Linked DNA regions of Coturnix japonica. The protein of the gene in region 5 purifies or fractionates together with the protein of the main gene of each other region. This does not show direct contact. Links are inferred from orthologs where the notes say so. Each region holds a gene or a part of one and is shown on either strand. Other genes may lie near its edges.

Evidence for each region.
Region 1: the proteins of RNPS1 (region 5) and TRA2B purify together in Homo sapiens (affinity purification with western blotting; 3 studies listed by BioGRID and IntAct, with this or other methods). This does not show direct contact. The link is inferred for Coturnix japonica from reciprocal best matches to the Homo sapiens genes RNPS1 and TRA2B.
Region 2: the proteins of RNPS1 (region 5) and EPB41L3 purify together in Homo sapiens (co-immunoprecipitation; 3 studies listed by BioGRID and IntAct, with this or other methods). This does not show direct contact. The link is inferred for Coturnix japonica from reciprocal best matches to the Homo sapiens genes RNPS1 and EPB41L3.
Region 3: the proteins of RNPS1 (region 5) and UPF3A purify together in Homo sapiens (co-immunoprecipitation; 4 studies listed by BioGRID and IntAct, with this or other methods). This does not show direct contact. The link is inferred for Coturnix japonica from reciprocal best matches to the Homo sapiens genes RNPS1 and UPF3A.
Region 4: the proteins of RNPS1 (region 5) and AP2A2 purify together in Homo sapiens (co-immunoprecipitation; 3 studies listed by BioGRID and IntAct, with this or other methods). This does not show direct contact. The link is inferred for Coturnix japonica from reciprocal best matches to the Homo sapiens genes RNPS1 and AP2A2.
Region 6: the proteins of RNPS1 (region 5) and CAMKV purify together in Homo sapiens (affinity purification with mass spectrometry; 3 studies listed by BioGRID and IntAct, counting the BioPlex papers as one, with this or other methods). This does not show direct contact. The link is inferred for Coturnix japonica from reciprocal best matches to the Homo sapiens genes RNPS1 and CAMKV.
Region 7: the proteins of RNPS1 (region 5) and LUC7L purify together in Homo sapiens (affinity purification with mass spectrometry; 3 studies listed by BioGRID and IntAct, counting the BioPlex papers as one, with this or other methods). This does not show direct contact. The link is inferred for Coturnix japonica from reciprocal best matches to the Homo sapiens genes RNPS1 and LUC7L.

Annotation. Positions count from the first base shown.
Region 1 is NC_029524.1:3,326,464-3,329,963, reverse strand, and holds part of TRA2B (transformer-2 protein homolog beta), read right to left. Parts: intron 2,498-3,500; coding exon 2,382-2,497; intron 1,552-2,381; coding exon 1,468-1,551; intron 1-1,467. UniProt on the Homo sapiens protein: Sequence-specific RNA-binding protein which participates in the control of pre-mRNA splicing. Can either activate or suppress exon inclusion. Acts additively with RBMX to promote exon 7 inclusion of the survival motor neuron SMN2.
Region 2 is NC_029517.1:90,380,595-90,384,094, forward strand, and holds part of EPB41L3 (band 4.1-like protein 3), read left to right. Parts: coding exon 1-13; intron 14-425; coding exon 426-524; intron 525-2,212; coding exon 2,213-2,293; intron 2,294-2,557; coding exon 2,558-2,668; 3' UTR 2,669-2,674; intron 2,675-3,500. UniProt on the Homo sapiens protein: Tumor suppressor that inhibits cell proliferation and promotes apoptosis. Modulates the activity of protein arginine N-methyltransferases, including PRMT3 and PRMT5.
Region 3 is NC_029516.1:123,392,521-123,396,020, forward strand, and holds part of UPF3A (regulator of nonsense transcripts 3A), read right to left. Parts: intron 1,206-3,500; coding exon 1,099-1,205; intron 209-1,098; coding exon 110-208; intron 20-109; coding exon 1-19. UniProt on the Homo sapiens protein: Involved in nonsense-mediated decay (NMD) of mRNAs containing premature stop codons by associating with the nuclear exon junction complex (EJC) and serving as link between the EJC core and NMD machinery.
Region 4 is NC_029520.1:9,470,427-9,473,926, reverse strand, and holds part of AP2A2 (AP-2 complex subunit alpha-2), read right to left. Parts: coding exon 3,463-3,500; intron 3,174-3,462; coding exon 3,076-3,173; intron 2,918-3,075; coding exon 2,686-2,917; intron 1,630-2,685; coding exon 1,456-1,629; intron 229-1,455; coding exon 65-228; intron 1-64. UniProt on the Homo sapiens protein: Component of the adaptor protein complex 2 (AP-2). Adaptor protein complexes function in protein transport via transport vesicles in different membrane traffic pathways.
Region 5 is NC_029529.1:12,005,958-12,009,948, forward strand, and holds the end of RNPS1 (RNA-binding protein with serine-rich domain 1), read right to left. Parts: intron 3,721-3,991; coding exon 3,529-3,720; intron 3,298-3,528; coding exon 3,195-3,297; intron 2,409-3,194; coding exon 2,255-2,408; intron 1,817-2,254; coding exon 1,675-1,816; intron 1,035-1,674; coding exon 929-1,034; 3' UTR 501-928; downstream 1-500. UniProt on the Homo sapiens protein: Part of pre- and post-splicing multiprotein mRNP complexes. Auxiliary component of the splicing-dependent multiprotein exon junction complex (EJC) deposited at splice junction on mRNAs.
Region 6 is NC_029527.1:1,482,003-1,485,266, forward strand, and holds the end of CAMKV (caM kinase-like vesicle-associated protein), read right to left. Parts: intron 3,090-3,264; coding exon 2,958-3,089; intron 2,849-2,957; coding exon 2,774-2,848; intron 2,702-2,773; coding exon 2,563-2,701; intron 2,479-2,562; coding exon 2,358-2,478; intron 1,692-2,357; coding exon 1,616-1,691; intron 1,548-1,615; coding exon 1,411-1,547; intron 1,330-1,410; coding exon 1,251-1,329; intron 1,176-1,250; coding exon 1,088-1,175; intron 1,021-1,087; coding exon 763-1,020; 3' UTR 501-762; downstream 1-500. Other genes in the region: E3 ubiquitin-protein ligase TRAIP, read right to left, coding at 1-88. UniProt on the Homo sapiens protein: Does not appear to have detectable kinase activity.
Region 7 is NC_029529.1:10,852,063-10,856,105, forward strand, and holds the start of LUC7L (putative RNA-binding protein Luc7-like 1), read right to left. Parts: upstream 2,801-4,043; 5' UTR 2,680-2,800; coding exon 2,619-2,679; intron 2,203-2,618; exon of another isoform or gene 2,132-2,202; intron 1,613-2,131; exon of another isoform or gene 1,491-1,612; intron 994-1,490; coding exon 899-993; intron 1-898. UniProt on the Homo sapiens protein: May bind to RNA via its Arg/Ser-rich domain.

The DNA.
Region 1 (3,500 bases), on a different chromosome or scaffold from region 5:
ATTAAGTAAAACGAGGATAATTGTCACTATTCTGAGCAAGCTTTTGTACCGCATGCAGAAAGCTTGGTCAAATTGCTACTTTCAGGTCTCACCTACTTCATGTGGAAGCCTATGTACAATTGCTGGCAAGATGAAAACCAATATATCTTGTCCTTGTAACAGCTTAACCCTGACGTTCAAAGCCACTGACGTAGCAGGGAAATGAATTGTTTTTTAAGGCAGAAAATACTCTTTCCCAGAACTATGAGCAAAGCACTTGTGTCTCCAGCATTCACTGTCGTGATGCAGAAGCACCTTAATCCTCCCCCAGCCCCTGCAGAGCTGAAGTACAGAAAGGCAAGGAAGAGAGAAACAGACCAAATCCTTGATGACAGGCTGGAAAAAACAAGTGCCTGCAAGTAGTAGGACAGGAAGGAGGAAACAGTTGCCCAAAGTGACTGAGAAAGACCATACAAATGTAAATATCCAGAAGAGCACATTGCAAAAGCTCAGATCTCAGGATTTAGATTGTTCATTGTGAGCTATAAGTGAACAACAGAATTCAAACTCATGCTTCTCCAAACACTGTCATCAAGCAACCGTCATAGATGTACCCAGTGCTGATGCATTAAAGCACAGCAAACAACTCAGAACGGCTCTATGATTCTGCAACCAAAGGTACACCAGGCAATTAGATTAAAATAAAATAATGAAATGTGTCATCTGTGTGTCCAATTTAACGTGTTTGAGTCAAATTCTGGGAATTTCACATGACACAACTCCTCCGGGCAGTCATAACAGAGAACACAATATAGAGCTGGCTGTGCCACCAAAACCAATTAAGTGCCAACTGAGTTTTCAACACATTTTCTATCAGCTTTAGAAGCCCTCCAACAACCTATGCTGCCACCGGGATATTCAGCACTTTCACTGTACTGTTGAAAACCTAAGACTGCAGACAGAAATAAAAAGCACAAGTCCCTGCAGGAGAACATCCTCATCCAACCTGATAAGAGTATGCTAAAAAAGCCTTGCCAAACAAGCTTCGAGTACAGAACAAGTAATCCTCTTATATCTGATTCTTTGCTGTGGCAACATTTGAGATGTCATAATTGTTCAATGGTGACCATTGAAACATCCTACTTGTTGTCTACTACATTCAAAAACTAATTTGGCATCAAATTGCAAACTCAAATATCAGATTGACACCTGTACACCCATCATGTTAATGCTGGGAGAGGAACAAGAAACGTGAGTACAGAGAATGGTACTTTGTTTTTCATCAATTTAAAGAAGCAGTACAGAATAAACCACGCTCCTGTGAAACAGCACAAAGTATTTTTCTCATATCTGACCAACCTCATTTGTCTTGACCAGCTATTTTTGTAGAGGTATATGGAGATTCCAATTAGAATGAGCACAGAAATATTCTGGCACACACATGTAGAACAAAGTTGAAGTAGTTCAGCACTACAAACATCGCCTCACCTGTATGATCTGCTGTAATAGTCACGATCATCATATCCTCTATCATATCCTCTGTCATAGTAATCCCGTCGCCGTGAGCTGCCACTACAAGTAATAAAAGAGAATTTCATTTAAGAAAACATAAAACATCAATTCTGTTTGCAGTGCAGTCAGTCAAGCATATCCCTTTTTAACTCACTTAAGTTACTGTCTTCCATTCTCACAGTTAAGGTGATGCTATGAGTGTTTCCCAGTGATGCAGATGGAAACAGAACTACTTAACACTGCTGTTTAAAATGCTTGATCTCTAAAGCAGCTACTTTCCTCTCTGTTCTGAAACCTCTCACCATTTTAAGGCAGGCACACAAGGAATTCTATGTGCCTGTACCCAACTCCTCATTCACTTCTTACTCCCAGAAAGCTTTTGGATGAATTTCTCCATCAAAAAAATAAACTTAGAGCCTCCATACAACACCAATACACAGCCAACAGCTCTGTAACCAGAAAATCTTGAGAAAACAACTGAGAATTGACTTGGGAAAACAACTCACATTCTTAGTAACTTTGTCAAATGTTTAATAGGGTAAACTGTAGCAAAGCTGCACAGTAGTATTTGTTGAGGGATGCTTGAAAACTAGAGCTTACAAAGCCACTGGTGTTTGAGAGCACACAGGGGAACATCCACTAATCAGAAACAACTTGAAATAATTTAGAACTTATCCAAAATTCTTACTGCAGACTTAAATGTGTAGACAGCTTATGTTTGGACTGCATAGCTATTGGACATAAGTTTCTGCTTACTGTAATCTAAACTGACCTCAGATCAGCCACTGAGAAATTGTTTTGTTGCTGTTATTTTGTCTTTTAAAATACAGGACACAATGTATCCTGACCCTTACACTTCCAGAGGAAAAAATGCCACAACAGTAACCTACTAAGTGGGTCTTCCCATGTAGATTCCAGGGGTAGGCGTGTGAGGTCTTTTTGTTATGGAAAAGTCTACCCGGATTCTTCTTCCATCCAACTCCATTCCATTGGCACGTTCCTTAGCCTAAACACAGATAAAATAGACTTAGCTGTAGGTATGAATTTTACTACCAACACAAATTCCTAACCACTGCTTGATGTATTAAGAAAAGCCCTAAGAGATCTCAGTTAAGGCAGTTCTGAATTTCACTTATGCCTCACACTTAATCACTGACCTAAACTCTAAGACATCCTAGGCCAGCTGGGTATAAGCTTCAGTAACTACTTTAACACAACTTATATTGCATGAAATGTCTGTGAGGAATGTAACTTACCCATGGTTTCACTCTTTCTGATATGATTGAGGAGAGCCTTTAAAAACGCTTCTACAAGTAATCTTAACTCCCTCAACATGGAACATCAAACAGCATAGAACCCCCCCTCTCCAAAGACATTCTAAAACTGTACCCTAACCTTGAATATAGTAATAACAAGCAAATCTGAAACTGTTTTTCTTTTTCCTGCCATGCAGGACAGCTTACATTCAAAGCTTCAGCTTAACACAGAAGTCTCTTGCCAAATTTAAGGGGTGGTGGGGGGAAAGTCACTCCAGACAATATGAAGTGGAATTTATGCAGAAGATGAGACTATTCACAGCACTATCCAGGCCAGGCCTGAGTGCAGAATTACACACTTAGCAAGCTCCTTTCCCTGGTCATTCTGTAGCGTTTGTAAGCATACATTCAGTAGTTTGTTGTTCAGTAGCGATATCATTTTAATTTAATGCCTGTCTGGCATTAAATTGGAAAGAAGATTTTCTCCTCCCTTTACATTTGAGGCACTAGAAGCAAACAGAATGCACGTTAATGCTTCCATAGGGCACCTGAGCATTTGAGAACGCTGAAGCACCAGTCTGGGGTACTCTGAACATTAATATTAAACAGAAGATCACACGTGAAGTTTGGAAAGAACATGCCTAATTAAGAGCAAAGAGAGCACGTGTTTCTATTTTCCTTTTCTTGTTGGCACAGTTCACACTAGAGTACGTTGATGTTTGCTTTTTGTGAATTATACGACAACTCAATCCA
Region 2 (3,500 bases), on a different chromosome or scaffold from region 5:
TGAGTCTTCACAGGTAAGAAATCCTACAGAAGCCAATGTCTAATTAGCATGGCCTTGAAAATCCCATCTCTCTTCATCCATGTTTTGGTGTATTCCTTAGTATGAACTGTTGTTTGGGAACTCAATACTAGCACGGAGAGTATGTGCAAAAGTGTATTGTACCTGAAGGTGACTGGTGTGTCCTGATGTAGGGCCTTTAGAGAATGCTGATAAAACTATAGGTTTCAAAGCCCCAGTTTCTCATCTGTCCTTCCAGAAGAGAAGTCGTAATGCAGAGAGAAATAAAGATGCATAATCACCCTAACAGCTGTTATTTCCCTGTTGTTAAATAACTCTCTATGAAGAACAGCAAAAATAGAGAAGCTCAGTTCTTGACTTCCTTTGCTTAAGGGTATACTTTTGATTATTGTTTTTTGGTTCTCTAGGTGGATAGTGGTGCTGACTCAGAGCCTGGTGTGCTGATGAGTGCACAAACTATCACGTCTGAAACCACCAGCACTACAACCACTACACATATCACCAAAGTGAGTCCTCTGGAAATGGAAAGCTTTTTTTTTTTTTTTTTTTTTTTTTTCTGAAGGAAAAATGTGTTTTCTTAGCTTCTGTTGTTTTAAAGCAGAGTCACATGCTTATAAGCTCAAACAAAATCCTGTCTGTTTTGGCTTTCACCTGTCTTTGGGTATACTAGCTTGATTAAGGTCAAGTGCACAGTGCTGCACTTGGATCGGGGAATCCTAGGTATTTATACAAACTGGGGGAAGATCTCCTTGAGAGCAGCCCTGTGGAGAAGGACTTGGGAGTCCTGGTGGATGAGAAGCTGGACATGAGCCAGCAGTGTGCGCTTGCAGCCCACAAGGCCAACTGTGCTCTGGGTTGCATTAAAAAAGGGGTGGCCAGCAGGGAGAGGGAGGTGATTGTCCCCAACTACTCAGCACTTGTGAGGCCCCATCTGATGTACTGTGTCCAGGCCTGGGGCCTCCAGTACTGGAAGGACTTGGAGCTCTTGGAGCCGGTCCAGAGGAGGGCCACTAAGATGATCAGAGGGCTGGGGCACCTCTCCTGCAAGGAAAGGTTGAGGGAACTGGGCTTGTTTAGCTTGGAGAAGAGAAGGCTCCAGGGACTGTTTACATGGGTTGATATGATAGGACAAGGGGGAATGGTTTTAAACTGAGATGGGGAGGTTTAGGTTAGATTTTAGGTGGATGTTTTTCACACAGAGGGTGGTGAAGCACTGGAACAGGTTGCCCAAGGAGGTTGTGGATGCCCCATCCCTGGAGGCATTCAAGGCCAGGCTGGATGTGGCACTGGGCAGCCTGGTCTAGTGGATGGTGACACTGCACACAGCAGGGGAATTGAAATTGGATGATCATTGTGGTCCTCTCCAACTCAGGCCATTCTATGATTAACCTATCACCCAAGGACTTAAGAGTGGTCTGAAAAGAATAAACCCTTCAGGTATGTCTACACTACTGTGCAGATACATTTGAATTAGCAGCAAATACTTTCTTAATCAGGGACCAATGTAGCCAAGTTGTCATCAAATGATTCCAAGGAAGGAATGATTTTTCTCAGCATGAGATTGTCAGGACCATACTGCTTTTGAGTCCTGCACTATTTGGTCTGCACAGTTTTGAAATGGTTGTAAATCTGTATCGTATAGTCATAATGGAACATTCAGTCAGCTTAGACACTGAGTTGTTGTAGTGTTGTTGTGCTGTAAGGAGCTAGCAGAAACCCTATTTGTACAGTGACAGCTTTCTTACTAGTATTCAGTGAAGACTGCATTTCATCCTTCTGCAGTGCAATTCACCCTTCAGTAGATGAGCTTTACAAGGGCTGTACAGCCTCTCTGTTCTTCTAAAGCCTGCAGTGTGTCTTACCTAGGTTTTAATATGAGCTCTCTGTCTGTATGACCATTCTTCTTTTCATGGGATGAATTTACCACTAATACCTGTCATTTTTGACCTACCCCAAATATCTTTCTGGATGTGTGCAGGCTGGTTAAAATCACATCATCATCTTTGTCAGAAGGAACTCTGGAGAGGTCCAACCCCCCCATTCTGAGCAAGCTCCAATTGCAGTATGGGGCTGTCATCTGTGTGTGTCCAAAGTTGGTTTAGTCGGATCACATCTGAATGTGTGATAGTCCTGCAAATGGGTTGCAACACTCTTTAAAGCAAGCTACTGACATGTATTTATCATTCTCATTTAGACTGTGAAAGGAGGCATCTCAGAAACAAGAATCGAAAAACGAATAGTCATCACAGGAGATGCAGATATCGACCATGATCAGGTAAAATCTCTAAGCTGTTTAAGGCTACCCTGAAGGCTGAAAAACAGAACATTACTAAACATTGTTTTAAAAGATACTGTTCAAACCGACATGCCTTAAATTAAACTGAACTAGTAGTTAAGTCAGTGATGGTATATTTCATATTTTAATCATTTTCCTCATTTGTAAACTGTGTAATATCTCATGAATCTCTCCACCTTGCTACTGATCATGCATGTTCCACCTCCTTTTTGTTTTTGCCCTTCTGTGGTTTCCTTGGGATAGGCGCTGGCTCAGGCAATTAAAGAAGCCAAAGAGCAGCACCCTGACATGTCAGTGACCAAAGTAGTGGTACATAAAGAGACAGAAATCACACCAGAAGATGGGGAGGATTGACCGCAGGTAAGTAGACTAGATGATTTTCCCAGGCATTTACTGGGCTGGCATGTTGCAAAGGTTGTTTTCCTACCATAATTCACCTCTAACTCCACTTTCTCTCTATGACATTTGCAAGTTGCATTTATGCTGTTTATCAGTTCTGATGTTTGAATGCAAAGCCCATTCAGCTCTGAATGTCTTCATTTAACAGTGCCAGCTGGAGCAACAGAAACCACTCATTTGCTTTTGTTGGCTCTCTGCAAATTCCTCATTGTCCATGCTTTGATACAGTCTAATTTCTAATCCTGAAGTCAAAAAAACTCTTTTGTCTGCTTCTATGTCATTTAAGAATAAACTTTTGTTCTTAAAGAACAATAAAAGAACCAGTTAAGAACAATTAAATATCATTTAAGAACAAACTTTTGTTCTTAAAGGTATGCATTTTGTTTAAAAAATGCCAAGGGTAAAACCTATAGCTGCTTTTTCAGTGTTCTGTGCGGATATGTTACAAGTTAAGCTTTATTCCAAACTTGCAAAGGTATGGCCTAACTTGCTTTTGATTTTTGTTTTGAACCCAGTGAGCTCAGTGTGTCAGCATTTGGATGTCTTGGCTTTCTTGTATTTCAAAGGACATATTATGTTTTAAAGCAGCATTGTTTATCAGGATGAGATGATGATGCAGCTTTCTTGTGTTGAGCTTTGTTTATTTTCCATAAAGGCATGCTCTCCAATTGTGGTTGGCCAAACAGACATCTTAATATTCCTATATTTGCTCTATGCGCAGAAACATGTCATGCATACTAACCTGCTACCTAAAAGCTGCTAATGCCGGCACCATTGCACAAATTGC
Region 3 (3,500 bases), on a different chromosome or scaffold from region 5:
AATTTCCTATATTCTGGGTCTGTGAAGATAAAGTTTTGAATTCTGTTAGTACTATGCATGACAGAAATGGAATCTGTTTTCCACCGTGACATCAAGAAGATACACTTACCATCTTCAATGCTCCCAGCCTTGGTGTCTTTCTTTTTTAATTTCTTTTTTGAAATCTTCTGAAATGGAGCAAATTCAACCACTGCAGGGTACTCCAAACCTTAAAAGAGAACAACACTTAATTTTTATTTCAGGAAGCATTCATTGTATTCAAGTAAGGTTTTCCAAACCCTTCATGTCTGTGTTGGGTAGCTTTACTTGAAAGTGAAGATGAATGTTTCTAAAATCCCATCCTGAATTTCAAAGGACAATTTGCACGTGGCTGTATTTTGGATTACAAACAAAACACTTTAATACTTGAATCATTTAAACATTATTATTAGCTTCACTAGAGGGCACTTGCAATCTAAGCTTGGGCTTGGTACGTGCAAACAACCACACCAAACTGACCATCTGTCTCCTACATTACAGCAGAATGTCCAGGCTCTTATCGACAAATACAGGTGAGTACACACACTGTTAAGGGAAATCAGACTGAAAACACCTGAGGTTCTATCAAACATAAAAGCTCTCTGAAAAGTCAAGCCATACATATCTCAAATTGTGCAACCAAAATAGTGAGGATGTGGGTTTTGGTTTTGCTTTCTCAGAAGGGGAATGCACAGCACCGCTTTATCTCACAGAAACACAACAAAGATGCAGCCACTTGTGCTTGCAATGTTTTGGGTCAATGTTGTGTTGAATTGTGAAGCTCACCTAAGATAATGAATAGGATCCTGACAATGTACTGCTTGAGTTATGAGAATGCAGATGAAGTGTGCACACCATGCAGACAAATAAGACTGCCTGGACAAATACATTTTTCACTTCATTATCTTCCAATAACCAGATTTTGTTTTAGTGCACTTTTATGTAATCAACTGTATCTTAAGCAAAATAAATAAATAAATAAATAATAGCCTAATTATAAAAAATGAAATGAATTAATGTTCTAAAATGGCAATGTAGGCATGTATGTATTCACATGTAATAGCTTACAAATAGTCCAACCTTTATTATCAATGAAGACATAGCCATCAAAGCGATCTCTAAAAAGGAGGATGTCCTCAGGATTTCTAAAGTTAATGTATGCTCTTGAGTAGAGATGAGGATAAAGGCTGCAACAAGAAACAACGTCATTTTCTGTTATTTACTATTCTGTTCAGGCCTGGAAAAATGAAATAGATAGATCACACTGCCATTCTCATTCTCTCTGGGAAATGGCTAACTTAACCATGCATACTTATGTTTCTAAATACATATAAAAACTTCTATTACATCTGTATCTATCAACTCAGTGACTGAATTCCTGATACAGCTATGAAATTTATTCTGAACAGAGACAAATGTTTCTAGCTTGTTTTGTCTCCTTAAATTGCAGAGCATACATTTCCATTTTGCAGGATCAAAACTTTAAGTCTATTTGTTCGTGACTTGAGAGATGAGTAACAGCAGTGCTTTTGGGGAACCTCTTGGGCATGTTAGGAATGTCTTCCATTGCTGACGTAGTGGAAAGGAAGTAAAAGCTTTCAGTGAACTGGAAGTTGCTAAGCTATCACTGTATTCCCACATTAAAGAAAGATTAAATGACTTAATACTTGGCAAGGTAATATGCTGCATTCTGTACAAATAAACAAACTCCATTTGACACACGCATGAATATATATGTCTAATTGTGGAGAAAAAAAACTGAGAAAATCAAAAGCATTTTTTTTAGCACAAGAAAGAACAGGTACTTACCCAATATAATTCTGATCCTTCAAGAATTTATTGGCATTGGTTCCACTCTAAATATTAGCGTGCCAGATCAAAACCTCAGGGCTGGCACACCACCTCCACCGATGGAACTGTGGTAATGTAATGCATTACCACTCATCAGCTAAGTGTCAGGTGCACACTTAACTCTCACTCCCACACAATTACGATGTAAAAACATTTGGCTTAATCTGTTTTTAGTGATGTCTTCACGTTAATACATTTTTTTTTCCCCAGTATACTTGAATGTATTTGATTTGAATGTGAGCCCGTAATTTTAATATACCTGTGTTCACAGTACTGCTGCCATACAACTGCTGTTTTAAGATAAACTCACCAGCAGCAGAAGACAACCAGCACATATTTATTCACTATTTTGACATTCTGGGAAGGTAATAGCATTGAATGAACTGCAAGCAGGTATCACAGAAGCACAGGATGGCTCAGGCTGGCAGGACCCTCTGGGTCCCTCTGTCCTAACAGCTGCTCTAGCAGGGCCACCAAGAGCGGGGTGCCCAGGGCCATGGGGCTTCAGAAGATCTCCAGGGAGGGAGGCAACCACAGAAAGGCCTGATTGGGCACAGCTAGTGCTATGCTGTCGACACAAAACAGTGCTGAAAGATGCTACAGACATCAAGCATGCTTCCTTATCCACCACAGCCCACACAGATGCTACGTATCAGGGTACAGTCTGTTTGCAGGAAACATCTAGACAGCTCAACCAAATAAGCATGGTGACATATGGATGTGCTTGGCCACAGAGTTCTTCTGCACACCCTGCAGAGTTCTGTTACCAGATTTGCAAACCTCCAGTCTGCTCATGAAACACAAGGCATCTCCAGGAGCGTGTGGAATCATTAGCAACATGCAGTGCAGCTGAAACAAGCTAGCTTCCATCTCAGTGCTTTCAAAGCAAAGCAAAAAAAAAAATAAAAATAAAAACTTTAAAAAAAAAAAAAAAAAAAGATTAAATTTAACAGGTATGGTATGTACCATTAAAGGTATATATATACCATACATAAGGTATGTACCATTAAAAATAATATTAGAAAACAATAACAGTAGGAGTTGCAAGTGTCTGCAAAGATGGAAAGTTTACTGTGATGCCTCACAGTTGTGCTGGATGAGGAGCTCTAAGATATGGTTTAGTGGTTTGCTGTAGCTGCAGTAATGGGAAGATGGTTGGACTAGATGATCTTGTAGGTCCTTTCCAACCTTGTGATTCTATGATTCTATGAAAAAGTCCTCTGTGCTGCATGACTGCAACAGCAATGAAGTCTGCTAAGCGGTGGCTCCCAGGAAGGAACAAACCTCTGTCACTTCAACAAGACTATTCTTATCTTACACTCCATATGTTCTTCAAAGTTAAAATGAAATGAGAGCTGATATTAGAGACTGATATGATTATAGTCTAGAAGTACTGAAGATTCACCAGGAAAAAACAACCTTGAGGGTCCAGCCTGATCATAGAATGCTTTGAGTTGGAAGGGACCTTTAAGATCACCTAGTTCCAAATCCCCTGCTATAGGCAGGGACACCTCCCTCTAGACCAGTCTGCTCAAAGCCCCATCCAGCCTGGCCTTGAACGCTTCTAGGGAGGGGGCATCCACAGCCTCACTGTGCAGCCTGTTCCAGTGTCTCACCACTCTAACTATCAA
Region 4 (3,500 bases), on a different chromosome or scaffold from region 5:
TTTGTCTAATCCTGCTTTAGTAGACAAACGCTTTACCAGATGCCATAGAGGATGACTTAATTACCTTGCAAAGTTGTCATCAGAACCAGGAGCAAGAGGTGCAACAGCAGAAGCTGAATCTGAAAATACATCCACCAGCAGGCTACCACTAGAGGAAGGTGGGGGAGCTGAATTGGTGAGAGGGGCTGCACCCAGACCCAGCAGATCCGCAGATGGAGAAGGAGTAGTCTAGGGAAGACAAGATACGTAGAGATCAGATCTTAACATATATAAATTTGCTCAAGTAGAACAAATCCAGTGACTGGGAGGCAGAATCATGCACTGTTAATAAAACAAAGGTTTCATACATGCACAAGTCATGTGCAAGAGCAAAGCAGAGACTGATTGTTAAATAAAGTGATCATGCATTAGATATTAGCACCCTGCATTATGCCAGATATTCTAAGGATGCAAGAGACAATGAGACAAGAACAAAATTTCACGCCTAATTCAAATACAATACAACTCAACATTTTCTTATACACCAAAGGCTGACTTCAATGCAGGATAACAGAAAAATCCCTGGCCAAATTTCTTCAGAAATTGATCAGCAAGATCTGCTCAAAGCAATGAGATGAACTCTGAGTTCATCTTCAGCCATCCAAGCTAAGGTGACATCCAAAATGGTAATGAAGGTAACTTGGCAGAATTTCTTACACTGCTGCAATTCAAAGTGAAGCTTGTAAGGCAGAATACAATTTTAAATACCAGATACATCAGCCAATTTGGCACATAAAGAATGCTTGGCACCTAAAGATATACCTGTCAATTCAAACATAACTCATCTGGAATGTATACCCATACCTATTGTAAGAGTTAAACGAGTAAGCTGTAAGAGAGGGAGCATGCTAAAATGCTACTGCATCTCAACTGTACTTATAAGCATAATCTGTAACTTGAACAGCAACAAGTATTATGTCATGGGAATCATTCACTTGACCAACCTTAATTGACATTAAAATGAGGTGGTTCAGCACAGAAAAAAATATGAAGACTTGTGTACCATAACTGAACAGAAATAGGACCATCAAATAAAGAGCAATTATTAAGGACATCCCTGTCAAGTACTGTCCGCTACTAGAAAAAACAACAGTGACCCACAACTAGATGCAGAAGTAGGCATGTTAGACAACGTAGAAGAACAGCTGACTTTACTGAAGTTACTTTAAAAGGAATAAATTCAATTTCAAACACCTCACCATCCCTACATCTCCATCAGCAATGAAATTTTCATTTCTAAGACTAGGGCAATACTTCTCAAAATAACAACAAAGAAGGGACACTACTGTATAGCAAACATTCATAGTTTGAAATTCGAGACAAGAAGGTTAAAGGCCCTAAAAAGCCAAGGAAACCAGTCTTTCCTCACCTGCACACCCTCTGAGTTAGTGAAGTAAGAACAGATTTGAAACTCACAACAGCACTGGCATTGACAGATGCAGGTTCAGCACTTCCATTCATATCAGAGCTCCTCTCCTTTTTGATCTCTTCCAGGTCAGTAACTGTGCCTGGACCTTTCTTCTTCTTGAGTTTAGCCAAAATAGAAGATTCCCTCTCTGGAAAGGGAGGCATTTCCTCCAGCACTGTAGCCTTATTACAGGAAAAAAAAAAAAAAAGAAAAAAGTATACTAATTATATTTACAGAATAAGCCAAACCAACATCCCAGTCTTTGTCAAAAGACATCAAGGCAAAATAAATAAATAAATAAATAAAAATCACCTACACAGAAAATAGCTATGTATGTAGTCTGGTACACAGTGGTAGATAAGACTTGCCTTTAAAAGAAACTATATAAAGCTTTCTGAAGTCCTCCCAAAGTTGTTGCTTAGAAGAGCAGGAGTGTATTTTTAGGTGTTTGATAAAGTACACCTAAAAATAAATAAATGAAGAAGGAGGGAGGAGACTATAGCAAACCTCCACCAAGACCTGAAAGCACAGATTACCCAAGGATCTAGTCAGATATAGTTGTCTATTAGCTGTCTAGGCTGAGAGCACCATGCTCCGGCCAGATCTGAGTGCATCAGGCTAAAGCACCTGAAATTTCTAGAGACAAAATTTTCATGCCCACCAGTAAACAAGTAGATTTCACAGATCTTCTGAAATAGTTTGCAATTGTTTAACACCGGCATAAAAAAAAAAAATCTGTAAGGATTAAGTGAGGTCTTCCTTTTCTATTTGGTTTCAATTTATGCATTGCCTTTGACAAGTGTTCTTTAGGACACACTATCCCTCACTCATGCTCAGAGATGACGTTAATTTTTCAATAATCGTAAAGCTAAAGGACATGAAGACAACCAGACTGTTGTGTGGAGGAATACAAGTGGAAGAAATCACACAGTTTGAGAGTCTCTGAGGACCTGATCCAATAAATATATCTTTGAAAGGCTTACCAAATCTCTGAAAACCTATAATATTTTCATAAAGATACAAGTAGTGATCTACCTTACCAAGGAAGTAACACCTTTGATTTTAGTTTTAGGTTAAAGAGCTGGATTATATACACTAAGAGGAACCAGCATCCATTTTACAGATCTTTAATTCTGCATTAAGATTTTGGAGCAAACAGCTAAGATTTATTCAAGTTTACTTATTGAGAGAAGAAACGGCTAAAGTGTTCTGCATAATAAAAAGGGTTCTATACCTACCAATATATCAGTACTGGCAATAGTACTGAGCCTCAGATACTCAACAGCTCTCTGCTGCAGCTCAACATCTGCATTCTTTAGCTGACTGTCACTGCGCAACACATCTTGAATTGTAGTTTTGATTTCTGGAAACAGGTTCACAAACTTGATGTAGGTGGACAGAAGCAGAGCTCGGGTAGGAACACTACACAGATGAAACTTGGAATGTAGCAAGTTGAACTGGATGAGGGGGCTTGAAAAAGAGAAAGAAAAACAATTAGTTCAGATTCTGTTGACATGATAACCTCAATGATATTACTATCAAGAGCTGAATCATTTCTTAACTGACTTTTAGGATAAATAAATTATTTTTTTTTATAATTACTTCAATGAAATTAAAAGGTGTTTTACCTTGATCTTGGATCCCCTGCTATCAGATTACCAAACTCTCCCAAGATGTAGCCACCTACTTTTACGAGATTCTCATGGCATGCTGGAGCTTGAAGGGCCTGTAAGAACACAGTAGGAGTCCTTGATCTGTATTGTACTAAAAAATACATATATTTTTTCCCTTTTCCCATTTTTTTCCTCTGTCTTTCCCTTGTTTGGTTTCCCAGACAATTCCTGTACATTAGCAGGTAATGGCTGCATACTTCCAGGAGGATCACCAAGTTATTACTCAGTTTGGATTCCAGCAGCCAGAAAACTCAGGGGAAAAAAAACACTGTAAAAGACTTCTATTTTTACTAAGTTTCCAGGTAACGTAATTTCCTTATTAATCCACCCAATTATTCTCACCTCAAAAACAGTCTTTGCTGCGTACCCTTGAACATCAT
Region 5 (3,991 bases):
GCGGAGCCGCAAGAAGCCCCGCCCACTGTGCTCTTAAAGGCGCAGGAGCCCCGATTTCTCAACCCTACTGCTTTATTCGAGTCGCTCGTCCTACACAAGTACAAACACAACGCGGCCCCGAAGGCTACAAAGTCATACAAAACGACACGAAAATAAAGAAAAAACAACAAAAAGACTTTATAGGATCGACTGTACAACAGGTGGTTGGTTCTCTGCCTTTCCCCAGGCAGCAGCACGGCCTCAAGCCCCCCCTCTGCCTTGCAGTGGTTGCCCATCAGTTGCTAATGGGATTTGTAAAGCAGAACAATCGCATTGTTTCCTTATGGGACCGAGTGGGGCAGCAGCTACAAACCCGCTGGTAAGATTCGCAGCGTTCAGCAGGGTGCAGCATCAACCAGGAGCACTGCAGGACATCAATGGGCACAAACGACTCATTATTTGGGACTGGGAATAAAGCAGCAGCTCAAGGATCAGGTCTGTGATCAGGTTTGTGATCTGTTCGAGCCGCTCAGTCCCAGCCCTGAGGCTCCCTGTCCCGTTCTGCAGCGTTTCCAAACAGCTCGAGATCGATACGCTCACCCTTACAGCACACAAAGCATTGTGAACTCACTGGACAAAGGGGCCAGAGCAGCCCCGCACAACCAGCACAGGACACGGTGGGTTTATAGCCGGGAAAAAACAAAACTAAAACATAAAAATCGAGGCTGTTTGTCAATAATGCCAATTCAATGCCAGGAAACTTCCAAGCCCCGCAGCAGAGGCTGCCCAATGGCCGGGAGCTGCTGCCGTCTCCTCTCTGTTACCTCCACTGCATCCTCTCTCTCCCCCTCTCTCCCTTCCTCTCCTAGACCCATTATAAAAAAGGTACAATATTTATTTTCGCGGAATTTAAGTTAAAAAATAAAAAGCTGTCCATTCTTTTTTTGCTTTATCGTGACGAGTTGGAGCTGGAGCGGCTGCGGTGGCGCCTTCGTCCCGGAGACCTGGACCGCGAGCGCCGGCGAACAGGAGACCTGCGGCGCGGGGAGCGAGACCTGGCAGGAGGAGGAGAAAGTTCCTGTCAGGGCACAGGGAGCAGCTCCAGGAAGGTCACCTCACCTGCCACCTCTGCTCATTGATTCCTTTCGCCCCCTTATAAACCACTGTGAAAGATCCGACAGACAGCAAACCGCAGGAAGCAAAAGGGCAACTTAAACAGCAAGATCCCAGCAGGGATTTTCTAGCTACCACCCTCTGCTTCACAGCTTGAAAGGCTGCTTCATATCCAAAGAATAGACAAGAATCTTATTTTCTGCTTCACACAAAACAAACAAGTTTGTTCTAAGTCAGACTCTCCTCGATCTGAAAGGTTCATCTGAGACTTTGGCTCCTGAAATATTGTTCAGTATTGACACAGCTCACACAGCACCACAGACACTTCTCACAGGAAGCTCAGCTCTAAAGATAAAGTGCTACAATTAGTCTGTACAGCCACCAGTGTGACACCAAGGTCCCAGGAATGGAATATTAAGAACAATCTGAGTTCAACTGACACCCAGAAGGTGACTGCTTTGTTTTGAACTGTCATTTGGAGTGGACAATCAACTCCAATGAGACGAAGCTGTCCTGGCACTGGGACTTCATGACAAATTCTTGTTACAACAAGAAGGAAATAAGAAATGCCACAGCTCTCACCTTCTCCTCATGCGAGGGGGTGACCTGCGCCACATGGGGGGTGGGGGCAGCATCCTCCTGGGGGGGCTGAAGCGCCGAGGCGGCGGTCTGGGCCGTGGTGCCAGTACAGCTGTGGCAGTGATCTCCTGCCCATCGATCTGCCCTGTTCAGAAAGTCACAAAAATAAAGTTAGTGTTTGCCAGCACCAACAAACCAAGTGACAGCGATTCACAGCTCTGACACAAGCAGCACGACCCCGTGCTCCTATTTCCACTACACTCTGAAGTTATACTGACCAAACCACACACACACCAGACTTCTTCACCAAGTATCCCACCAGACATGGATCAGGAAGGATTTTCACAAAGATTTAAATGATATTTTGTTTGGAAAAAAAAAACAAAACTATCATTTTAATAGTTCTGTATTTTCTTTTCAACCTGTCCTGAGACCATACAAAAGCCCCTCTGGGCTGAAAACAGAATGACAGCACGTCAGATCAGTTCCCCAAAAGGCAGCCCATCATCTCCATCTCATTTTCACATCAAATCCAAAAACTTCTTTCAAAGCACTCAGCCTCCTTGCAGCATTTGACACCTACCTCCATCCATGTGTTTCAGGGCTTTCTCAGCATCATCTGGGTTCTCAAACTCCACATAAGCGTAGCCTTTAGAGAGGTGTGGATTTAGCCTGTCAACTGGCATGTCAATCATTTTAATCTTTCCATAAGTGGAAAAAATTTCCATGATGTGATCCTGCCAAAAAAGAGCAGAACTTAAGGATGTACAGCACTATCACTGAGCAGCTCTGGCTGGTACAGAGCACACAGCACCACATCAGCTTTGAATCAATGCCACCTGCAGGAGATATATTCCACTGATCAGGTGTGGAAAGGACACTGAGATTACCACATCCTCTACTGACATCTATGTCTGTTTCACTTCAGATCACTCTAATCCTTAACAGAATTACTGGCTGAACACCACCACAGGCTACAAAAGCTGCACTAGTGTAAAAACCTTCCTGGGGACCTTAGGAAAGTGAAGTTGTGTCCTCACTTAGAAAGTCTTAAGGTGCAATTCTTAATATTGTGTTTTTAAATAGCATTTTTTCAGCACCCTAAACTTGTATTTCTGCAGACCTTTAAACTACATTCTAGCAAAGACAACTCCAGCCAGTCCAGCTCTCCTGAAGCTCCTTTTGGTGAACCCCCCAGGTGTCCTTAATGCCTCCCAGGTGATTTCTACTGCTGTACTGACTTCTACAGCTTTCTTCCTAGGAAGGTGGAGCTCTCGGGTACCAATAAGGCAGACAGAACTTTTAACACTACTGAATTACACAAGCCCACAGTTAATTTGACTTGAGGAAGTTCTACTGAAGCATTCCACGCTCATCAGTTTGGACACAAAGCAAGCATTTCCAACAGCAATGTGCTGGCAGTACACCAGCAACAAAACAAACCTTGAAGGCTTTAAAAAAAGCCACCAACACACGCCCACAGGGGTGCACCTGCGTGGCATTACAGGAGAACATGCCATTACCTTGGTGACGTTTCTAGTGAGCCTCCCAACGTGCACTTTTGTAGGTCTGGGTGATGGGCTGCGCCGCTTCCGCTCCTTTTCATCTCTCTTCGGTGGCTTGGACCTGATTTGGACATGAAAACATTCACAGTTTTCAGGGGAAACAAGACGACAAGAACTAGAAGCTGGCATCCATTTTGACTGCCATTAATAGAAACATGCCTGTTCTAACAAAATTCACATCTCTAAGTTACGGAGAATGCAGACCATCCTTGGTAAAAATCTGTTTGATCACAACCTTGTATTGCACAAGGAACCTGCTCTGTAGGAATTCCTAAAGACAACATGAACTCACTTGGAGCGGGACCGCCTCCTGTTGTCATGTCTCCGTCGGGACGGACTGGGGGATCCAGAGGAGCTGCTGGAACTTGAACTGCGTGAGGTGCTGGAGCTCCCAGAGCGGCTTGAGGCAGAAGAGGAGCTCGAGCCACTGCTGGAACCAGTGCTGGAACTGGATCCTGAGCTGGAAGTGGAGCTGGAGCGGGACCTGGTAAAGGAAGCAAAACATGAGTGGAATACCCAGAAAAAGAATGGCTGAAGCTCTTCTCCTGGTAGACAGAAAGCAACTGCAAGTTACAGCAATGAAAACCGACTCTCCATAGCTCACTAATTCCACCATACTTCACAACGGTCAAAACCCCTTCCTTTAATCTTTCCATTGTGACCAATGCAATTCAAAGGTTGTGTAAATCTGAGCCGTGTGGAAGTCAGCAAAAGGTGGCTCTGAAAACATGTATTTGTTACTGCCTGTAATGGTA
Region 6 (3,264 bases), on a different chromosome or scaffold from region 5:
GTGAGAAGGTGTGCCGCAACGGCACAGGACACATGTAAGGCGTTGTCGAGAAATCCGGAGCAGATGGGCTAGTGCCGCGGATCGGCATCGCGGAGAACCGGAAGTACCGGATGGAACGGAAGTAGACGGAATCGCTCACAAACCGCGCGACGCCGCGCCGTTCAAACCGGGCCGCCAGGCCGACGCACTTCCCGGTTCAGGCAGGATGTGACGTCACGGTGCGGGCGGGTCCCGCAGCCGCCATGACACGCCCCCTGTGCGGGCGGCCCCGCCCACGCCCGGCCCGACCGGCCGCTCTGCCCTCAGAGCCCCGACCTCCCTCCACCCGGCCCCATCCACCGCCCTCCCGGTACCGACCCCCCGGACTGCTGTCGCTCGTTTGCTATGGCCGCCGTCCCAGTTTGCCCTCGCGCGGGTCTTTATTTGCCGGAGATACAGCGGGCAATGCAGCGGCCGGGGGCGGCGGGACGACGGGAGGGATGGACGGTACCGACACCCCCCCCCCCATCCCAGCCCCCGTTCCCGCCTCGGGCCCGGCCCGTGAGCGCATCCCGGGGTGTCCGCGGGGATCTCTGAGCATCCCCGGGCTGCGGGGGGCGGGAGGGGGGGAGGCGGCGGGGGACGGACCGAGAGAGCGGCGGGGACCGGGAGGGGACGGGCTCCATGCAGGGCGCTGCCCCGCTCTCCGCTGGGGGCACGTAGAAAAGTGGGGCGCAGGCGGGGGGTGCGGGGGCCATGCCGGGGCTGTGGACACGGGGCCGCTCAGCCGCTCGGCTCGTTGGGGGTCTCGGCGGCAGCTGCGGCGTCCCCGGCCCCGTTACACGTGTCGGCGGCCGGGCTGGGAGCTGGCGGGGCCGCGGCGTCCGTGGCGGCGGCTGCGGCGGTGGTGGTGGTGGTAGTGGTGGTGGTAGTGGTGGTAGTAGCGGCGGTGGAAGCGGTGGTAGCGGTGGCTGCGGGGGCCGACTCCGTCTGCTCGGGCGCCCGCAGCCGCTTCATGAGCGTGGTCACTCGCACGGCTTTCTGCGGGGACGACAGCGCGTCAGGACCCCCCGGGGGGAAACTGAGGCACCGGGCTGCGCCCACCCACCTTCCACTTGGCCCTGGCGAAGTTCTTCTCGATCTGGGCGCAGACGCCGTCCTTGATGTTCTTGTCGGAGGCGGCGTTGCCAGAGATCCTGGGGGGAGGAAGGAGGTGGTGAGCGGCCCTCACTGCCTTCCCCAGACCCCCCCGTGCCACCGCAACCCCTCACCATTCATGAGAGATGGCCTCCTCTGCCGTGATCCGCTGGTCCTGCTCCACCTCCATCAGTCGTGTCACCAGCTCCTTGGCTGGGGTCAGGACGGTCAGCGCTGGGGGGACACACAGGGACCCCGTACCCACCTCCCCCCTCCTCAGGTACTATGTCTCACCAGCCTGTGAGATGTCATCCCAATAGGGTGGGTCGAACTCGTAGTCCCCAGCCAGGATTTTGCGGAAGAGGTTCTTGTCGTGGTTCTCATAGTCATCCTCATCTGCCTCCTCGTAGAAGGGGGGGTTCCCCGAGAGCCTGCAGGATGTGTGTTCAGTGCCCTCCTCCCACAACCCAGAGCACCCCAGCCCCAGCCCCACACTCACAGGATGTACATGATGACACCAATGGCCCAGCAGTCCACCGGCCGCCCGTACCGCTGCCGTCCCACCACCTCTGGAGCTACAGAACACAGGATGGTGGTAGGGGGACCTGTTCTGCTCTGGGGTCTCCAGACACCAAGTTCCCCCACTGGGAAACCCATCCCCCTGTACCCGATTTGCTCCTCCAGGGTGGCCATGCATGGTGCGTCCCAACAGGTCACCCGTGAGCAGCAGGAGGGACCCAGTGTGGGTAATTGGAATGATGGAGAGCAGGAGGAACCCATAGGGAGGAACCATGGATGGGTCCTTGAGGTGATAGGAAGCAGGAAGAACCCTTTGGGAGGAATCAGGATGGGTGCCTGGGGTGATGGGGAGCAGGAGGGACCCGTTGTGAGCATCCGATTGCTTCTCTGTGTGATGGGAAGTGGGAGTAACCCACCAGGGACACACAGGAACCCACAGAGAGCAGTCAGCAGCAGGGACCCGATGGGAGCTCTTAGGATGGGTGCTGGGGAGCAGGAGGGACCCCCAGGGTGCAGCCAGCATCAGCTGCAGGGTGATGTGAATGGGAGAGAACTGCCAGGAGCACCCAGGATGGGTCCCTGAGTGATGGACACTCATCAGAAGCAACCAGGGTCATCATGATGGACGCACTAGGAGGGCAGGGACCTGCCAGAATGCTGACCCTGAGACAGGCAGTCTGTGCCCCCCACCCCCTCTCTGTGCCTGCCCAGCTCGCCCTCACCCAGGTACTCAGGGGTGCCACAGGGCTCCTTGATGAGGCCGTTCTCCAGCTTGGCCAGGTGGAAGTCGCTGATGACGATCTTGGAGTTCTTCAGGCGGTTGTAGTACACCAGGTTCTCCAGCTGCCAGCACAGGGAATGTGAGCGTGACGGGGCTGCAAAAGCACCCATAGGTGCCTGGGCCCACCAGGGACCCCCAGCGCCCACCTTGAGGTTCCTGTGAACGATCTTGAGGGAGTGCAGGTACGCGACGGCCTCCAGCACCTGCCGGATGACGTTGCTGGTGTCCTTCTCTGAGTAGTAGCCCTGGTCCAGGATCCAGTCGAAAACCTCCCGGCCCGTGGCCCTGCCGGTGCCAAGAGCAGGCTGTGGTGGCCCCACAGCACGGCGCCCACCCTCCTCCTCACGCTATGCTTACAGCTCCAGGAAGATGAAGTACTCCTTGCGCGTGATGTAGACGTCCACCAGCTGCAGGATGTTGGGGTGCTTCACCCTGCGGCACCCATAGGACAGTGGTGGCAATGGATGGATGGAAGCATGGATGGGTGCTGCCTGACCACCCGTGGGGACTGACCCAACCCCCCCTCGGCCCCGGCACTCACATTTTCAGGATGATGATCTCATTCTTGGCTGCCTTCCTCACCTTGCGCCCGTCCCGCTTCAGGAACTTCTTGCAGGTGTACAGCTTGCCCGACGTCTTCTCCTTCGCCCGGAAGATTTCACAGAACTCCTCCCTTCAAGGAGGATAAGCAAGGGATAAGCAAAGGATTAGGAAAGCAGGGGGGTCAAGAAAAAGCCCTTTCCCTGCTACAGGGCCACATGGGCTCCTGGAGCATCCTGCAGGATGGCCCCTGTCCCTGCACAGAGCTCACGGCCGGATGGATGCTGCAGAACTATCAATACTGAGCT
Region 7 (4,043 bases), about 1.2 Mb from region 5:
CTCTGCTGGGAACCCACGTGTCAAACCCCAGCTTGTGAAATAACACAATAAAGTCCTATAAACAAGGAGTGCAGTTAAAAAAAATCTGGTTAAGTGGATGGACAACATAAAAAGTCACAGCATTTAGAGACAAACAGCGTTATTCATCTCCATCCTGCAATTAAGTAACACAGTAATTACCAAAGTCGTATACTGTTTTCTTTTGAAAGCTGGATTCTTACTCCACAAGATCTCGTTGTTACCACGTCACCTCCTGCTCTCACAGAGAACATCTGAGCCAATCCTCTGAACCTTGGCCAGCTGTATCCCCAGAGGGCACCAGTGAAGGAAGCTGTCCCAACTGTTTGAAACCAGTCAGGCAGAGCAACATACTACTCACACCAACAAACTAAAGACAAAGCTGGCCTGAACTGTAACCTGCCATTATATGCTCACCCTTTATGATTAAAAAGCTGAAATCCCACTGGGAGAATACCACCTGGTTTAAAAAAGGAGACTAAAAGCTCTGAGGATTGAGGGTTACTGCAGCTGAAGATGCAGTGAGCTGCAGCACCCTGGACAGCAAGCTGGCTCCTGTAGGCCACGATCCCGTGACCCCCACAGGACAAGCTTCACATCCTAACCACCATAAGCTGTCAAAACAGAAATAACCTTGCAACCTCCCATCGATTGTGATAGAAAAAGCAGTGTGAATGAATTCAGAATACACCTGACTATTGTGGATCCAAAGACAGCATGGAAACTGAAATGAAAATTGCTGGCTATCCCTGGTGTAAGGGAAATCTGATGTTTTCCAGGCTGCATCTCCTCAAAGGTACTTTGGGTGGCACAGAGGAGCCCTTGAGAGCTGTGCCAACGTTTGCCTTACCAAAATTCCTTATTCCAAAGGAATACTTACTGTTCCTGCCAGGATATCATGAGGACAGCAATCCAGGAGGTGGCTCTTGCAGACACGATCGTCTGTAAACTTCACCCTTTGCCTGGTTTCATCTCCTGAAATTCATTTGTGGTTTTAAATAAGGAGACATTAGAATACCGATAAGGAACAGAAATGTCAGCATGATCATTTCAATATGCAGATTAAAATACTTGGTGCTCCCCAGAATTACTTGGAGGGTGACAGGATAATCTGAAAAACTCATAATTGGCAGCAAATACCATTTTTGCATTTATTCATTGTACACCATGTTAAACACAGTGTTGGAAAGCCAAGTAACGTCCAAAGCCTGTCATCCATATAAAGAGACTGCACAGCCCAAAGAGGAAAAGGAGACAGACAGTCGGCTCAGAGCCAACACTTTTGGTTGTTCTATCCCCCCTTTTATTTTGCCATAACGAAAGGGCAGGAGATACTGGAACCCAAGCAAGCAGAGGGCCATGAATCACAACATAAGGCTGTGCTGGGCAGTTGGGTTTGGTTTTATACTTTTATAAGCAACTTCTATTTGCTAATCTGATGATTAAGACATCGGTCCATTTGGTCTCAATACCAAGTCTGCAGCGTGTTTTCCAAGGCCGTGAAATGCTGCATCTCGTAGGTCTCGGCCCGGAGCACGTAGCGTAGTTCCCACCCTCCTCCCGCCCTCAGGAGACATTTTACATTCAGGAGCCACTTAAACAAGACAATATCAGAAAAGCAGAAAATAAAATAAAATAAAATAAAATAATAAAAAAAAGAAACAAAGTTAGTCAATACACACTGCGAGCTCCAACATATACTATACCCATCTGCATTCTTCAAGACCTCAGCTGCAGAATTTTATGCCCACTGTTGAAAAGTTTTAAAGGAAAAGCTTTCTTGCCCACACCTGCAGTAAGGAAGTCAGGGGAACGATACATGAAAGTAAAGGCAAAGTGGTAATGGAACGTGACAATTTTAAAGCGAAGCTGTGTATACATGACACAGGCGTGTCATCATAGGAATAGGGTTTGCAAGCATCCAGGAATTGTGTCTATTCCAAATGGTTTTTCTTGCTTTCTAAGCTACGCTTTTAAAGTTACTGCTGGGGAGGGGGGAAAAAAAGAAAAAGCAAACACTTTTTTGGGGTTTTTTTTTCTTTTTTCTTTTCTTTTTTGTTTTTTTTTCTTTTAATTTTTGTTATAACAGCTTTAAAAATCGGTTGTGACTCACGGCTCGATGAACATGAGGCTTTTCTGCAACTCCCTTGCAGATTGATGTAGGCAGGCAAAGATACACTGAACCTTTATGAATAAAATAGAGGGGCCACCATTGTTCAGTTTGTATGAAATAAAATATATGGGAAGCAATTCAACAGCAACTCAACACACACAAAAAAATAAAAGAGAGAGAGAAAGGCACTTCATTCACTTAACGAAACAAAGTGCAAAAGGACCTGAGCAAACCCCGCTACGAGGCGGGTATTGGAGAGCTCGGGCCCACACGAACCGCATTAAGGCCGGACCGTAAGGCCGGACAGTACGACCTACCTACGGCTCCGACCCGACGGGGCTCGGCGGGGCAGGGCGATGCGGCCCACCCCACACACACACCCCGCGGATCCACACAGCGACAGCCCGTAGGCCGCGGGTGGAGCCGGACCGGGCCCCGCTGGGCAGCCAGGCCGCGGATCCTGCAGGCCCCGCCCGCCCCTACTCACCGTCCCGGGCCGTGCCCATCAGCTGGTCCAGCAGGGCCCGCATCTGCGCCTGAGCCGACATGGCGGCTACGGGGCTGCGGGACGGACGGAGGAGGAGGAGGAAGGAGAGCGGCGGCGGCGGCGGCGGCTTCAACCGCGGCTCCGGGCTCGGCCTCGGCGGCGGCGACGCACGACGGGCGCTGGGCGGAAGCGGCCCCTCCCGGCGGCGCGGAGCATGACGGGATGTGTAGTCCTGAGAGGGTCGGGAGGGAGTATGGACCGGGCCGAGCCGGGCTGGGCGGGACCAGAGTGGGCCAGGACCTGGAAATGCCTGACAGGACGGGATGTGCCAGTCCATGATGGGCCGTGCTGAGTTATGTTGGACCACTGCGTCATACACTGAACCTGGACTGTACCAGGCCATACTGACTCATGCTGGACCACTGGGTCATACACTGAACGAGCTGTACCAGGCCGTGCTGAGCCATGTTGGACCACTGCGTCATACAATGAACCTGAGCTGTACCAGGCCGTGCTGGGCTGTACCAGGCCAGGCTGTGCCAATCCCTGATGGGCCATACTGAGTTATGTTGGACCACTGCGTCATACACTGAACCTGGACTGGTACCAGGCCATACTGAGCCATGTTGGACCCTTTCATCTCGCACCAACCTGTGCCAGGCCTCACTGAGCTGCACTGTGCTGTGCCAGGCTCTACCAGGACAAACGAGGCCAGGTTGGGCCTCACCAACCCCTGTTGTTTCAGGCAGGGCTGTGCCAGTCCATCAGGCAGCACTGAGAACTGCCAGCTCTGCCATACCAACCCATGTCAGGCTGTGCTGAGCTGTGTCAGACCCTTTGTAGCTGCACCAACATGAGCCAGGCCCTTCTGTGCCATATCAAGCCCAGTCAGGCTGTGTTGGAGCAAGCCCTGCCTGGCTGTGCCAATCCCTGCCCAGCCATACTGAGCAATGCCAGGTTGTGCTGTACCAACCTGTGCCAGGCTGTGCTGAACCATGTCAGGCCCCTTTGAGCTGTACCAACCTGTATGTGGGATTCCCCTGCAAGGAGTGATGAAGAAAGGGAATGGCTTCATTGTGTGAAAGGTGGAAAACAGGACTAGGCAAAGGTCTGGTTACGGTTTTCTGCCTGGAAATCCTGTTTACCCTTTTGGTGCATGGCCTGCAGTGGTTGTGTCGCTGGGGAACAGATAAACCTGGCTCTGTCCCTTCCAGCCATGGAGGCTAATGCCAACGCTGTGCCAAGCTGTGCCAGGCTGTGCATCACAGGCAGCAGTGGCAGTGGGTGACATCAGGTGGCAGATCGAAGGCTGCCCGTGGCTTATCAGCTCCTGCTGGCCGTGTTTGCCCAGCAGTGCCTGGGCGGGACCTGCTGCCCCCCCCCCCAGGGCTGCCAACAGGAGTGTGTGGGGAGGGATGGCAGCAC